Linked DNA regions of Ovis aries. The protein of the gene in region 1 purifies or fractionates together with the protein of each later gene. This does not show direct contact. Links are inferred from orthologs where the notes say so. Each region holds a gene or a part of one and is shown in the gene's direction. Other genes may lie near its edges.

Region 1 (7,401 bases):
CAGGCCTCTCTCCGCTCTGGGAACAGGAGGTGGCAGGGGCTCTGAGGGGCGGGGAGGAGGCCCTACCCTCCGGGCCCCTGCTGATCCTGGTCTCCCATGTGCAGCTTGGAGCAGCACATGGTCGTCCACACGGAGGAGCGAGAGTACAAGTGTGACCAGTGTCCCAAGGCCTTCAACTGGAAGTCCAACCTTATCCGCCACCAGATGTCCCACGACAGCGGCAAGCGCTTCGAATGTGAAAACTGCGTGAAGGTAACCGGGCTCACCCCGCCGGCCCCACCCGAGCCAAGACACAGAGCACGCGTGGGGACCACGGGCCCCCAGTCATTCGAGAGGAAGACAGGAAGTGTGCAGCGCTGCGCAATGGGGAAGGAGAGGGCGGCCAGACCAGGTCCTCTCGGGTTCCCACCTACATGGCAGGACAGACTCCTGGGTCAAAGACCTGGAGCTTAAAGCTTCTGAGCTCCTGTCTGGAGCACCCTCAGGGCCACAGTTCTCTCGAGAATTATTATTGAAGAACCAGAGTCCAGAGAGGCCTGACAGCCCACCTAAGGCCATCTAGCATGTCACTGCCCCAGCAGAGACTGGTCTGGCCAGGCTCAGGGCGGTGGGCAGAGCCCCCAGAGAGACCCCCATCCCGTGACCTGACCCGGGGTCCACAGGGAGCGACCGACAGAATGTGACGCGCCGGAGTCTGTGTCCCCAGGTGTTCACGGACCCCAGCAACCTGCAGCGACACATCCGCTCTCAGCACGTGGGCGCCCGGGCCCACGCCTGCCCAGACTGCGGGAAGACCTTCGCCACCTCCTCGGGCCTCAAGCAGCACAAGCACATCCACAGCACCGTCAAACCTTTCATATGTGAGTGAGGGCCCGCCCGGCCCCGCCCAGCTCCCTCCCAGCGTGCCCAGGGTGGGCGTGCTTGGGGGTCAGCCAGGGGGCGAAGTCCTCAGGCTCTTCCCTGCTTGTGGGACCCCATCTGTCCAGAAAATACTTGCGGCAGCTGCCAATCCCTCTGCCCAGGGGTGGCTGCCTCCTGGCGCCACTTTATCATTACCCTGCTCCCTCGCACGCTTTTACTCTGGGATCCATTTTGCTCTGGCCTCACTTTCCCCTCTTGCGCCCCTTGGGTCCTCCCTGTGGCTCACTCGTCCAGTGGCTACAGGTGGGCAGTGGGTAGTGAAGATCCCTGTGGTCCTGCAGAGAAGGACCTGCAACTTACCTTTTCCCTCCGTGCCTCCCCTTCCCCACCCCACACGGGCTGCCCAGAGCTCCAGCAGGTGTGATAATATCAGTGCTTCCCACTCACCTGCAGCCTTTGGGGACCCCAGGCTGCATGCCTGTGCTAACCTGGGTGGCAGGGGCCAGCCATGAATAACTGGACCCCTGTCCACATGCCGTTGACCTGCCAGTGGAGGAGATGGAAGCTAAACCATCACCAGGGTGGGAGGAGGGCTGGAGGGTCAGGAGGCTCTCCAGGTGCCCAAGTAGGTGTCATCTGGCCCATATGCTGGGAGGTGGGATGGTCTATGAGTGACCCAAGTTCTGGCAGAGAGCTCGAGGAGGTGGGCAGGGGGTGGGGTGAGAACGACGGGGTGCCTGCCAAGAAGGCTCATGACAGGGCACTGTGAGCACAGAAGCCTTGAGCTTGTGGTGTGTCTGGGGAGGGAAGTAATAGGAGAGGAGTCAGAGGTCACAGGGTTAGGTCCTGGGAATCTAGTGGGCCAATGCAGGAGCATGACCCTACTTCTCAGAGTTTAGGAGATATTGAAGGTTCTTCTGTCTAGCACTGCACCAAGTCATCTCACTTGAGATTGTGCTGAGTCACTGTTCACACCAACACAAAGCTGACTCATCAGCCAGCGTAACTCACCAGCATTGTCCTGGCTCATGGTTCACACCAGCATCCTGCTGAGTCAGCATTCACAGGACCTTGACCTAATTCATTGTTCACACCAGCATTGCACTGGGAGTCATTCACATAAGATTGTGCTGAGTCACTGTTCACACCAACACAGAGCTGACTCATCAGCCAGCTTAACTCACCAGTGTTGTCCTGACTCATAGTTCGCACCAGTATTCTGCTGAGTCAGCATCACACCAGCTCGTCCCGACTCATCCTCCACATCAGCACCACACTAAGGGTCATTCACATAAGATTGCGCTGAGTCATTCTCCACATGAGGTTGTGCTGAGCCATCATTTTACACACATGAGTTCACAGCACCCTTACAAAACCTGACGGACCAGGGACCACACTGTGCCCAACCAAAGGGAAGTGACAGGGAAGGAAACAGTCTTGGCAGTGTGAAGTGACCAGGCCTTTGAGGCCCCGCTGCAGCTCCAGGGGCCTGGCTGCTGACCCCAGGCTGGGTGGCCTGGTACCTCTCGGGTCCCAGCACATCAATGTTGGGGGTGGGAGGAGCTAACTCTGGGAACTTGAGGACTTGGGTCTCAGTGGTTTCACCAATGTGGGGGTCTCACAGGACTGGACTGCTCCCCCAAAGAGGCCATACTTTCTGGCTGGTCAGGCCTTTGTTGAGTAGCTGGGGCTGTGCTCACCTCCTGCCCACTGCCCTGAACCTAGGCTTCCAGCTATCTTGCTAGAGGTGACTGAGCCCCCATCTCACCTGGGTCACCCACTCCCTCAGTCAGGGAAATGCACTTCTTGAGAGTGAGTTTGTGTGTGTGTGTGCACATCCTCTACAGGAAAAGAAACTGCTGGCCAGCACAAGCACTGGCCAGGGTCCCTCTGCGTCCCGCAGGGCACGGGTACGCTCCACCAGGCACTGGTCCCATGTCCAGCTCATGGTGGGCTGCTTGGGCCTTTCCCAGCCCCTGCAGGAAGCCAGCTCCCTTCGCCAGATCTGCCAGCCATCACAGGACCAGGACCCACCTCGCCAGGGACCTCAGTCTCCCAGAGGCCTCTCTGTAGCCCCAGCATTTCATCAGGACCCTTTTCTCGTGTAACTGGGTGGATGGGAAGCAAAGGTCCCAGGCTCCCTTCACCCAGGCATGGCCACTGGTCCCCGAGCCACCCCCACCACACACACCGGGAGTTGCCCTGGGAGGGTGCCATTTCCAAGCTCAGGATGGCAGAAGCCACTGATGAGGTACCACGGAGCCCCACTGTGGGGGACGGAGGGCGTCACTGAGCCTCTGCAAGGGCCGGGAACGTAGCAAGGTGTCACTCGTCTGGCCAGGAGCCCTGAGCCAGGGAGTGGCCTCTCTTCCCTCGAGGGTCGGCAGGCGGCCTGAGGGTATTTATAGACCTTCCCGAGGAGCAGCGGCCCCTCTGCACCAGCCTCCTCCCAAAAAGGGCAGATTTGATTAAACGAGGCAGTGCTCTTCCCCCTCAGCCTTGAAAACGTCCCGCCAAGCCAGACAGCCAGGAAGGCAGAGCCGTTAATATAAATAGATATTGTGATTAAAGAGCACGATCAGCTCGGGGCCAGCGCTCCCAGCGAGATTCGCATGACATCAGGCCACGAGAGTGTGAGGAGAGCGAGAAACACGTTGAAATCATTGTTTCCACGGGGGCTGCATTTAGAAAGCAAATCGTCCTGCAGAGAGAGAGAGACAGACAGTGTGTGTGTGTGTGTGTGTGTGTGTGTGTGTGTGTGTGTGTGTGTGTGTGTTCCTCTGTTGCTGGTTAGGAAAACAAGAAGAGAAAGAAAAACTGGAGGTTGGCCGACACTCAGCTCACCATTGGGAAAATGGTGAGACTGGGTCGCCAGGGCCTGCAGGGCCTGCCGTTCGGCTCTCACCGCCACCCTCTCCTGTTACCCACAGAGCTGGAGCAGCCTTTCCATCCCAGTCTGGGGAGGTCTCACTTTTCTCAGATGTGGAACCAGCCCCCTCGGGGGCTCCCCTCCCACCTCCACCTTCTAGCCACCCCCAGACTCTGATCTCACAGCCAGAAGCTCTGCTTCCAGGCCTGGGGATTAAGAACCCCAAGGGGCTGGTCGCTCCTGAGGCCTCCCTGTCCTGGGAGGCAGGGCTGGAGGCAGAACGAGGGGGGAAGCTGAGAGCATTTTAAACCTTAGAAGTGGGCGGCCTAGCCCAGGGGGTGTTGTTTTACTCGCTTCTGCTGGAACAGTGTGGCTGGCATGGTAGGGAGACCTGGTGGGGAGTCTGGATGGGCAGGTGCAGCTGCCTACATGAGGGTATGCCGTGTCTTTGCCCGTCTCTGGGAGCAACTTTGAAGACCTCAGTCCCACCTGACAAACTCATGGGATCAGGAGAACACAGAGCAGCAGGGCCCATTCTCCAGTGGAGAAGGCTGAAGTGGGTAGAGATCTACCCAGGCCACCCAGGGACCCCAGGGGAGGCACAGGGACATCGTCACCAATCCATTTTGGTCACCAGAGACCAATCCCAGGGAAGGGTGCGTGTGCGTAGATGTGTGCAAGTACATGTGATGACACAGTTAGAGTGCAACGTGTTTGTGAACATACACACTCATGCATGACACGCTCATGTACATAAGCGCACGTGCCCATAGACCTGTGTGCATATCTACATGCATGCACACTCCTGAGCGCACATGCAGGCGCTCATACCCAGTGATGCACGCATGCACACACATGTGCACACACGCACTCACACACACACACACACACATCCAGGCGCACGCCACTCCAGGCACCCGGCCGGACCCCCGGTGCCCCAGCCCCGGGCAGTGCGGGCCCCCGCCGCCTCCGCTCACGCCGCTGTCTCTGCCCTGCCGCCCCAGGTGAGGTCTGCCACAAGTCGTACACGCAGTTCTCCAACCTGTGCCGCCACAAGCGCATGCACGCGGACTGCCGCACGCAGATCAAGTGCAAGGACTGCGGGCAGATGTTCAGCACTACCTCGTCCCTCAACAAGCACCGGCGCTTCTGCGAGGGCAAGAACCATTACCCGCCGGGAGGCATCTTCGCACCCGGCCTGCCCCTGACCCCCAGCCCCTTGATGGACAAGGCCAAGCCACCCCCCGGTCTCAACCATGCCGGCCTGGGCTTCGGCGAGTACTTCCCCTCCAGGCCGCACCCCGGGAGCCTGCCCTTCTCCGCGGCACCCCCCAGCTTCCCCACGCTCACGCCCGGCTTCCCGGGTATCTTCCCTCCATCCCTGTACCCCCGGCCGCCTCTGCTACCTCCTACGCCGCTGCTCAAGAGCCCCCTGAACCACACGCAGGACGCCAAGCTCCCTAGCCCCCTGGGGAACCCGGCCCTGCCCCTTGTCTCCGCTGTCAGCAACAGTAGCCAGAGCACCACAGCGGCCGCGGGGCCCGAGGAGAAGCTGGAGGGCCACCTGGAGGAGGCGTATGCCACCAAGCTCAAGCCCCGGGGCAGCGACCTGTCAGACGGCAGCGACTTCGAGGACATCAACACCACGACTGGGACCGACCTGGACACGACCACGGGAACAGGCTCCGACCTAGACAGCGATGTGGATAGTGACCGTGACAAGACCAAGGACAAGGGCAAGGCGGCCGAGGGCAAGCCAGAGTTCGGGGGCAGCACGGTGCCCCCAGGCGCCCCCAACAGTGTGGGCGAGGTTCCCGTCTTCTACTCCCAGCACTTCTTCCCGCCGCCCCAGGAGCAGCTGCTGACAGCGTCAGGCGCGGCAGGCGACTCCATCAAGGCCATCGCGTCCATCGCTGAGAAGTACTTCGGGCCCGGCTTCATGGGCGTACCGGAGAAGAAGCTGGGCGCGCTGCCCTACCACTCCGTGTTCCCCTTCCAGTTCCTGCCCCACCTCCCTCACTCCCTGTACCCCTTCACGGACCGTGCCCTCACCCACAACCTGCTGGTCAAGGCCGAGCCAAAGTCGCCCCGGGACGCCCTCAAGGCTGGCGGCCCCAGTGCCGAGTCCCCCTTTGACCTCACCACCAAACCCAAAGAGGCCAAGCCCATCCTGCCGGCGCCCAAGGTGCCCCCAGCCCCAGTGTCTGGTGAGGAGCAGCCACTGGACCTGAGCATTGGCAGCCGTGCACGGGCCAGCCAGAACGGAGGGACCCGGGAGCCCCGCAAGAACCACGTGTACGGCGAGCGCAGGCTGGGGCCCAGCGAGGGGCTGCCCAAGGCATGCCCGGCCCAGCTGCCCCAGCAGCCACCCCTGCACTACGCCAAGCCATCGCCCTTCTTCATGGACCCCATCTACAGGTATTCACACGCTCCGCCCTCACGTGCTCTCCCTGGGGACCACCTCCCCTGCTCCCCCAAGCTTTGTCCCCCTGTCTTTGCAGCTTCAGGAGGTGCTTTGGCTCTGGGCAGGGAGGGGTCTGTGCTGCTTTGAAGTCCAGGCCCGGCTCGGCCCTTTCCTAGGGTGGGCGCCTGGCAGGGTCTTCTGGGCACACTTGGCTCCCTTTCTCAGATGCCACTGGGAAACGCACTGCCCTCCCTTGAACCCTGCCCCCAGCCTGCCCTCAGACTCCACCCCAGAGGCCCGCCTGCTGGTGTCTCCCGCCTCCCTGTCTGGACCGACTCTGCCTCCCAGGACACTCCTGGCTGTTAGGTCTGCTCCAGCATCTCTGCTTCCCTGCGACTGCCCTGTGGCCCCTACACGGGCCCCGCCCCTCTCCAGAGCCACAGCTGGGGTTCCTGTTGGCCTAGGGGCGATCAGAGGAGCCACTTATCCCCAGAGGGAGGAGGTGGAGGGAGAGAGGTGAAAGCTCTGGAAGGTTTGCAAAACATCAGCGTTCCAGCCCTCTGATAGACCTTCTGGTGAGGGGCCAACTGATTCCCCCTCCCCAGTTTCTGAGCAGGCTTTGATCAGGGGGTTTTGGCCCCCATTGCACGTGTCCCAGGGTGCTGGGAAGGCTGAGCCCTCAGGAGGGAGCTGTGCCCATGGGCGGGCCTGGAGGGGCCTGGAGGGGCAGGCAGGTGTGGTGCTTCAGCCACTATTACAGGCCCATGGTTCTGTGTGGGAGGGGCCCGTGCACACAGGTGAGTGTGTCTACATGGGAATGCAGAGAGCATGTGGCCACTCTGAGGGCTCATGGGAAGCACAGGGACCAGGCAGGGCCTGGGGATGGGTGTGTAAGTGAGGTCACCCCTGCAAAGGTGCAGCGGGAGGAATGATGGCAGGGTTGCCAGCAACAGGAAGGAGGGAGCATGGACCAGCCTCCTGCTCTGCCCTCCTCACCCACCCAGGTCCCCCCGCTCTGCGCTCACCCAGGGCCCTGGCTGGCCTGTGTCTGTAGCTGGTTCCATTTCCTGCCAGGTCTTGGCGTTGTCATCACAGGAAACCTGAAAAATGGTCCCTTGGGTGTTTCTTTAAAAACACACCATCCACAGATGGTTTGAGAAAGTGATCAGAGGCCTGTCACCACTGACGGTGGCTCACGGGCTTTCTGGGGGTGAACATGCCCATCAAAGGCCCAGGGGGCAGCTGCCAATTCCAGTGAATCCGTGGG
Region 2 (7,401 bases), on another chromosome or scaffold:
AGCCCGCCCCCAGCCTTGGGGGCCTCCTCACAGCCCCGGCCACACGGCGCGGGGTGGCCGGAGGGGCCTTCCCAGGGACCTGCTGGCTGAGCCTCCTGCCCCACCACCCAACCCGCCCCAGCCATGTGCCCTGGCCTGTGCCCCTGCCCACCCACGTGCCCCCGTAATCCCTCTGCCTCTGATGCCCGCCCACTGCCTCACGCCGCCCTCACCAGGCCTGCGTCTGACCCCTTCCTAGGAGGCCGGGGCGGCTGTCAGGACTCGGCATGGTCCCGCAGGCCCACTTGTGTGCCCGGGGCTGGGATCCCTGGGTCCTCTGAGCAGGGAGGGCCCGAGCCAGGCTGTCCGCACCTGTAGGACCAGGCCCCAGGCCTCTGCCGTGCTGACGGCCGTTTCTGCCTTGGACCTTTCTCCCCTGTGCTGTGTCCTCCGGGCCCCCTCGGCCAGGAGGACGAGAAGGAAGACCGCACCAGGCTCAAGGAAGCTGCATTCTGGGGGCCCTGTGTCTGGCTCCATTGGAGGCCCCGTGATCATAGGAGAGATGAGCCCGGGGCCGTTGGTCGTCTGACAGGCTGCCGGCTCCTGCCCAGGGTCCCCTCTCAGCGCCCACACCCTGCACTCGCTGCGTCTGCTGCAGGCCGGCCGCTGCCTCGGCCCCTTGCGGCCCTGGGAGTCCAGCAGCCTCCACCCTCCCAGGGACCCCGGGTCAGCACGGGGTGCTCCGTCCAGAGAGGAGAGGGTGGCCGACAGGTCCCGTGGGCACCCCATGGCCTCTGAGACATCGCGAATTGTACCGGCCCATTAGCAGGGGATAAACTGGGTCCCCAGCTGTGGCCGGGCTTCCATGGGCTCCCTGTGGCCTCTGAGATGTGGATTGTACCAGCCCGTTAGGGAGGGATGAACCGGGTCCCCAGCTGCAGCAGGTCCTGGAGTCTGTGATGCATTGGGTCCAGGTGGCCCAGTTCTGGGGCCCCGCCCTCGGGTCCAGAGAGAGACCTGGTAGGTCCCTGGCTGTTCAGAGCACATCTGGAGCGGACCCTCCTTCCTGGCCCTGGGCTGTGGCCCCTCACCCCCAGCCAGGCACGTCCCGCTGGTGGCCGGTGCTGGCAGCACGTTGGGTTCAGCCAGCGGTGGGGTGGGTGGGGCTGTGCACGCATGCAGGTAGGGGCTTTGCTGGGGCGCAGCGCGAGCAGACCCCTCGGGTGGGGAGGACTGTGCGCCATGCTCTTGGGAGACCCTGGCAGCTATCTGCTGATGTGGGCCTCACCTGGGGCAGCCCTGCTGAGACATGCACACCCTGTCCCCGCAGGCATCCTGAGCCCCCGTGGGGAGGGTGATGTCCCAGCCACGCTCCGCGGGGTAGAGGCCGAGCTGGCAGGCCCCCCGCAGGGTCTGCACTGGCCAGGCCAGCCTCTTGGCTGAGCGCACATAAAACCTGTGCCCGCACTCGACGCCCCTCCAGTGCGGGGCCAGGGGAGGCCACCCCCAAGGTCCGTGGTGCCCAGGACAGAGGCCTCAGGCTGCAGCCGCTCCCCAACCCTTCCTGGGGGAGCGGCCCGCTCAGTGACGGTGAGGGGTGACCACGTCTGCCCCTCCCGGTGTGAAAGGGTGCCGTGTGCCCTGCCCCGCGGCAGCTCCTCTTCTGGGAGCGGGTCGTGCATGGCGGCATGGCTCCCCCCCGCCATCGCTGGTTCTGGGGGTCTCAGGTCCTCCCAGTGCCCTTGTTTTCCATCTGTTGGGGCGTCCAGTGCCCAGGGAGAGGGCAGCCCCCTCCCCACCTCCCTGTGTCAGTCAGGCGAGCCCCGTCCTCTGTCGACCCGGCAGGTGTCCTTGGCGTGTCTGCTGGGTCGCCGTCACCCTCGGGTCACAGCAGGTGCTCGTGCGGGGACCGGGCGGCCTCCCACCCAGACAGCCTGCTGTGCCCACGGGGGCGCAGGCTGCTCGGGGCAGCGCCAGTCAGCACGCTGCCCTCGCTGCAGGTCCTGAACGAGGCCGTGGGCGCGCTGATGTACCACACCATCACGCTGACCAGGGAGGACCTGGAGAAGTTCAAGGCTCTGCGAATAATCGTGCGCATCGGCAGCGGCTTCGACAACATTGACATCAAGTCGGCTGGGGACCTAGGTAGGCCGCTCGGGGCCCTACCCCGCAGCCCTGCCTGTCGCCCTGGGCACGGCCTCGCTGCTTTCAGTCCGCCGCGCGGAGGGGGCCTGGGGGCCAGGGTCCACGCGGCTCTCCGCATGTGGGCCCCGCGCCAGCTCCCCTCGGGCAGGCGTGGGCTGGCGGCACCATCCCTCAGGAGGCCTGGGCCTCCGGCAGCGCACCCACCCTCCTGCGGAACCCCCCCAGGACCCAGGCAGGGGCCTCATCCAGGGGCGGCCAGCAGGCCTGGGCCGGGGTTCTCACAGCCCTGTTCACTAGAGGGGCCAGGAAGGAAGTTTCTGCTGTGAGTCAGGACACCTGGGAGTGCGTACACGCTGGTGTGCCTATGGGGATGTGCGTGTGCTCGTGTGCCCGCACGCTCGAGCACACGTGTGTGCCTCGCACCTGCGAACAGACTTCCTCGGGCTCTGTTGGGAAGTTCCTGCCTGCAGTGCTGCTCGGCCGCGGCCTCTCGGTCCCCTTTGAGTTGGTCACCGCCTTGCGGGAGGCTGGGACTCACTCAGCCACGGCACCTGGTCCCTGACAGCTCAGAACTGCAGAAAGAGTCGCTTGCACCGGCAGCAGCCATGCGTCTCGGTCCACCCTGCCTGTGCCCGCTGAGCTCTGTCCCCCCAGTGCCCACCCCCCATCTCCCATCTCCACGGAACGCCCACCTCCCCATCTTCCGTCCCCCCAGCATCCACCCACCCCCTGCCCCGTCTCCCGTCCCCCCGGCGCCTACCCCGCCCTCTCCTGTCCCCACACAGCATCCACCCCACTGCCGCCCGGCAGGCTGGGTGCTTTCTGAGCTGGCGTGTCCCTGGGCCTCGTGCCTGCTGACGGAGGTGGTCCTCTGCCTTTCGATTTCACCAGCTGGGGCTGCATCCTTCTTGCAGGGATGTCTGAAGTCCTGCAGGGCCTGGTCTCTGTTGGGCGCCGCCTTCTTTCCGAGTCTGATGGGGACTCCAGCTCCTCCTGCTCAGTTTTCCGTGCACCACGTGCCCCCCCCCAACCACCCCGCCCCCGCCCTCGTCCTCCCTTATGCTGAGGGGCAGCGGGGGGAGGAGCAGGGGAGGCTGCTGCTTGGGGAAGAGTGGCCTGGCTGAGACCCATTCCAGGAGGGTCCAGTGGCTGGGGGTCCAGGGCAGGGGCAGGTAACCTGCCTTGATCTTCGGCCTTCAGGCCAGGACGTGTCCCTGGGCCTGTCCCAGGTGACACCCGAGACCATCCCAGTGACCGCCCCGCGTGCCTTGCATCTCCAGGAATTGCCGTCTGCAACGTGCCGGCCGCGTCCGTGGAGGAGACCGCCGACTCCACCGTGTGCCACATTCTCAACCTGTACCGCAGGACCGCGTGGCTGCACCAGGCGCTGCGGGAGGGCACACGCGTCCAGAGCGTCGAGCAGATCCGGGAGGTGGCCTCCGGGGCCGCCAGGATCCGCGGCGAGACCCTGGGCGTCATCGGACTAGGTGCGCTGGCCTCTGCCTGCAGCCGCCTGTGGACGGAGAGGCCGGCCGGGCCGGGCTGTTGGCAGGTCCCCGGCCTGGGATGGCTGTCCAGCCACGGAGCAGCGCTGGGTGGCTGGGTCTCTTAGCTGCCCCAGGAGCAGCAGGCGGGGCCACACGCCCACCCAGGTGCTAAGTGCCCTCAGGAGCGGGGTCACATCTGCTCTGTGGCCGGGGTCATGCGTGGCCTGTGGGCGTCCATGCTCATGCCCGCTCAACCTGCTGAATGCTCAGGGCTGTGAGGTGGGGGCGAGGGGCCCGCCCTGAGTCCTGTCCGGGGTGGAGGGAGGCTGCTTGCTGCCCCCCTCGCTTGCTCTCGTGCCCTGCTGGCCAGCGCCCTGGGCCCAGGTAGCAGACCAGGGAGCAGAGGCGTGCTGGGGCAAGGCGAGTGGGTCGGGCCTCGGGGGCTGAGGAAGCGGGGGAGGGAGAGTGTAGGCGGAGCAGCCTGCCCTGCCTGGGGGCATCCCATCTGTGATCCCCAGGGTTCTCCACAGCAGAGGCCCCCGCTGTGCAGCCGTGGGGAGCTGCAGGGCAGAGACGCACCTGCGTTAGCTCAGGTCAGGACCACGGGCGTCTGAAGACGTGGGGACAGCCCACTCCTGATGTGACTTGCTGTCCTGCTGGACTGCTCACACAGACACTGGGCTGGTCAGAGCCCCATAGCTGTGCAAGCACCCTACACTCAGCAACGGGGCCCCTGTGCCCGGAACCAGCCAGAGTGAGGCCGGTGGGCCCTCTCGGTGTGGTGGAGGAGGAGGAAGGGGTGCAGGGTTATGTTCCTGGCGGGTGGGTTTGGGGCCACATCCCATCTAGGCAGTGCTGGTGCAGACATTGCTGGGTGGTCAGGCCCTGGAGGCCGCATCCTAACCGGCTCCTGGTTGTCCTTGGAGGCCGTCAGACCGGCCCTGGGGACCCCGGCCCTGGCTGGGTGCTCCAGCCCTCCCCGCGCCCCTCTAGGGACCCCCAGAGCCTGTGTGCCGGTTCCCTTGGCCTGAAAGCAGAGCGGTGGCCCCGGTGGCATGAGCTGAAGTGGGGATCTCGGTGCCTGTGCCGCTTGCAGAGCCCAGGGTTGCAGCTGGGGTGGCTCCACACTGAGGCGCTGCGTGCAGCTCCCAGGGACCCAAGACCCGTGCAGGGGCAGCTGCCGGACACACAGTTGCACTCTCCACATTTGTCCGTGAAAACGGAAGCCCTCTTTAGGCTTCCCTGGGTTTGAGGAGCCGGGTGCCGCAGTGCAGTGGCCGAGCGGGGGCTCCTGGCCTGCATCGCCCGCCCGCAGAGCCCGTGGCTGCTCCAGCCGCTTCGGCGCTGCCTGTGGCAGGTCCGCTGGACTGCTGGGTGCCTGTGCTCCCAGGGCCCCAGCCCTTCTCCCTGAAACCTCGTCTCCCACGCGCCCACTGCCTGGCCTCTGGGGTCAAGCGCATGGGGTGACGCCCGTTTCCCCCTAGGGCGTGTGGGGCAGGCGGTGGCACTGCGGGCCAAGGCTTTCGGCTTCAACGTGCTCTTCTACGACCCCTACCTGGCGGACGGCACAGAGCGAGCCCTGGGGCTGCAGCGGGTCAGCACGCTGCAGGACCTGCTCTTCCACAGCGACTGCGTGACCCTGCACTGCGGCCTCAACGAGCACAACCACCACCTCATCAACGACTTCACCGTCAAGCAGGTCTGCGCCCGCGGGCCCGCCGGGGGCGGGGCGGGGCGGGGCGGGGCCCGCCGGGGGCGGGGCGGGGCCCGGCGGGGCGGGGGGCGGGCCGAGCCGGGGGCGGGGCGGGGCGGGGCGGGGGGCGGGCCGAGCCGGGCCCCTCCTGGGTCCCGGGCCTTTCGAGTGACTGTGTGCGCACAGGCTTCTGTGTTGCGAGCGCGTGCAGTGCACACACCTGGGTGTGGGCAAGTTTGGATGGCAGTGGCCCTCCACGTGTGTGCACGTGGGTTGTATAGATGTGTGTGTGTCCATGTTTCTAGGCTTGTGTCTGTCCACACGTGTACACACACACGCACACATGGTTGGGCTTCCCTTGTGGCTCAGCTGGTAAAGAATCCGCCTGCAGTGCGGGAGACCTTGTCCCTGGGTTGGGAAGATCCCCTGGAGAAGGGAAAGGCTACCCACTCCAGTGTTCTGGTCTGGAGAATTCCATGGACTCTATAGTCCATGGGGTCGCAAAGAGTCAGACACGACCGAGCGACTGTCACGCACGTGCGGACACACGCACGCGTGGTTACATATGTTTCTGCGTGTGCACACGTGTGCGCGTGGGAGTGCCGGCACATTCTTGTGCGCACACGTGGAGCTGTGACTGTTGTCTGCCCCACGCCCCCAGCCCTGTGGAGGGGGAGGCCGGACACTGTTCCCACAGGCTGGGCTGGCCTCCAGGGGTCGGGGGGTTGGTCAGGCCGTGCCATCCGTGAGAACCAATGAGACCTGGACAGACAGGAGCCTACCAGGGAAGAGCCCTGCGGTGAAAGCGGGGTCACAGGCAGTGCCCCATCTCGGAGCAGGGGGAGCCTCCTCCACAGCACCAGTGAGGGGGCGTCTTCAGGCCCACTGTCTGTCCTTCCCAGATGAGGCAAGGGGCCTTCCTGGTGAACACGGCCCGGGGAGGCCTGGTCGACGAGAAGGCGCTGGCCCAGGCCCTGAAGGAGGGGCGGATCCGCGGCGCGGCCCTGGACGTGCACGAGTCAGAGCCCTTCAGGTGCCTCCCGCCGCTCCTGGGGCCCCCAGCGTGGGGCCCGCGTGGCTCCTGCGCTGCGCTAGCCTGGGCTGGCCTGGTTGGGGTGGGGCCATGCCCACACGCGGCCTCCTGGCCCTGTCTTTGGCCAGCCTGAGCTTGGCCTAGGGTAGACCTTCCTCCAGGGCCAAGCCAGGTCTCGGCGGGAGGGGAGCTCAGCTCTGCGGGCCAGGACAGCCCCAGGTCCTGCACTTGGGGGAGGGGGAGGGCTGAGACCAGGGCCCCCTGCCAAGTGTCCAAGGCCGCTGGCCCCCAGGTGGCTGTGTATAGATGCCCCGGCCGAGAGGCTGTCGGGCAGCAGGGCCTGGGGGGGGCGGTCCTCACCCGTGGAGCCTGCAGGGGTGTTCAGGGGCCCCAGGTCTGAGAGCTCAAATCACCTACAGGGGGCTGGGCGTGTCCCCAGTTGAGACCCTCCCCGCTGTGGTCAGGGAGGGGCTGGGCAGATCTGACAAGTGGGGGTGGGCTGTGGCCAGGGTCAGGCTCTGACCTTTAGCCTCTGACCTCTTTGCAGCTTTAGCCAGGGCCCCTTGAAGGACGCGCCCAACCTGATCTGCACCCCGCATGCGGCCTGGTACAGCGAGCAGGCCTCCATCGAGATGCGTGAGGAGGCGGCCAGGGAGATCCGGCGAGCCATCACAGGTAGGCGGGGCGGGGCTGCGTCCGTCTGCTGGCGGGGTGAGGGGGTGGGGGGCGTGGGAGTGGGGGGCCCAGGCTCCTGTGGGGGCCTTGGGGGCGGGGCACAGGTTGGGCGCGGCACAGGTTGGGCGCGGAAGGAGACAAGACCCAGCAGGGCCTGACGTTTCCACGCCGCAGACCCTGAACGCAGGGGTTCTTGGCTTCGTGTCTCTGACCCGCCTTCGCTGTCCTGGGGGTGTCAGCTCGTGTGTCTTTCTCCTAACCTTTGACGAAGTCTGTGTGCGAGCTTCCTGGGCGGGCCCATCAGCTCTGAAACCTCTGGTCTGAGCAGGCACCAGTGAGCTGAGGTCACCCGCCTGAGGCTGGGGGTCCCTGAGCTTCAAGGGGGACCC

Evidence for each region.
Region 2: the proteins of PRDM16 (region 1) and CTBP1 purify together in Homo sapiens (affinity purification with mass spectrometry; 3 studies listed by BioGRID and IntAct, with this or other methods). This does not show direct contact. The link is inferred for Ovis aries from reciprocal best matches to the Homo sapiens genes PRDM16 and CTBP1.

The regions. Positions count from the first base shown.
Region 1 is NC_056065.1:48,988,642-48,996,042, reverse strand, and holds part of PRDM16 (histone-lysine N-methyltransferase PRDM16), read left to right. Parts: intron 1-104; coding exon 105-252; intron 253-706; coding exon 707-860; intron 861-4,734; coding exon 4,735-6,148; intron 6,149-7,401. UniProt on the Homo sapiens protein: Binds DNA and functions as a transcriptional regulator. Displays histone methyltransferase activity and monomethylates 'Lys-9' of histone H3 (H3K9me1) in vitro.
Region 2 is NC_056059.1:117,907,976-117,915,376, forward strand, and holds part of CTBP1 (C-terminal-binding protein 1), read left to right. Parts: intron 1-1,979; coding exon 1,980-2,124; intron 2,125-3,404; coding exon 3,405-3,611; intron 3,612-5,095; coding exon 5,096-5,310; intron 5,311-6,206; coding exon 6,207-6,337; intron 6,338-6,884; coding exon 6,885-7,012; intron 7,013-7,401. UniProt on the Homo sapiens protein: Corepressor targeting diverse transcription regulators such as GLIS2 or BCL6. Has dehydrogenase activity. Involved in controlling the equilibrium between tubular and stacked structures in the Golgi complex.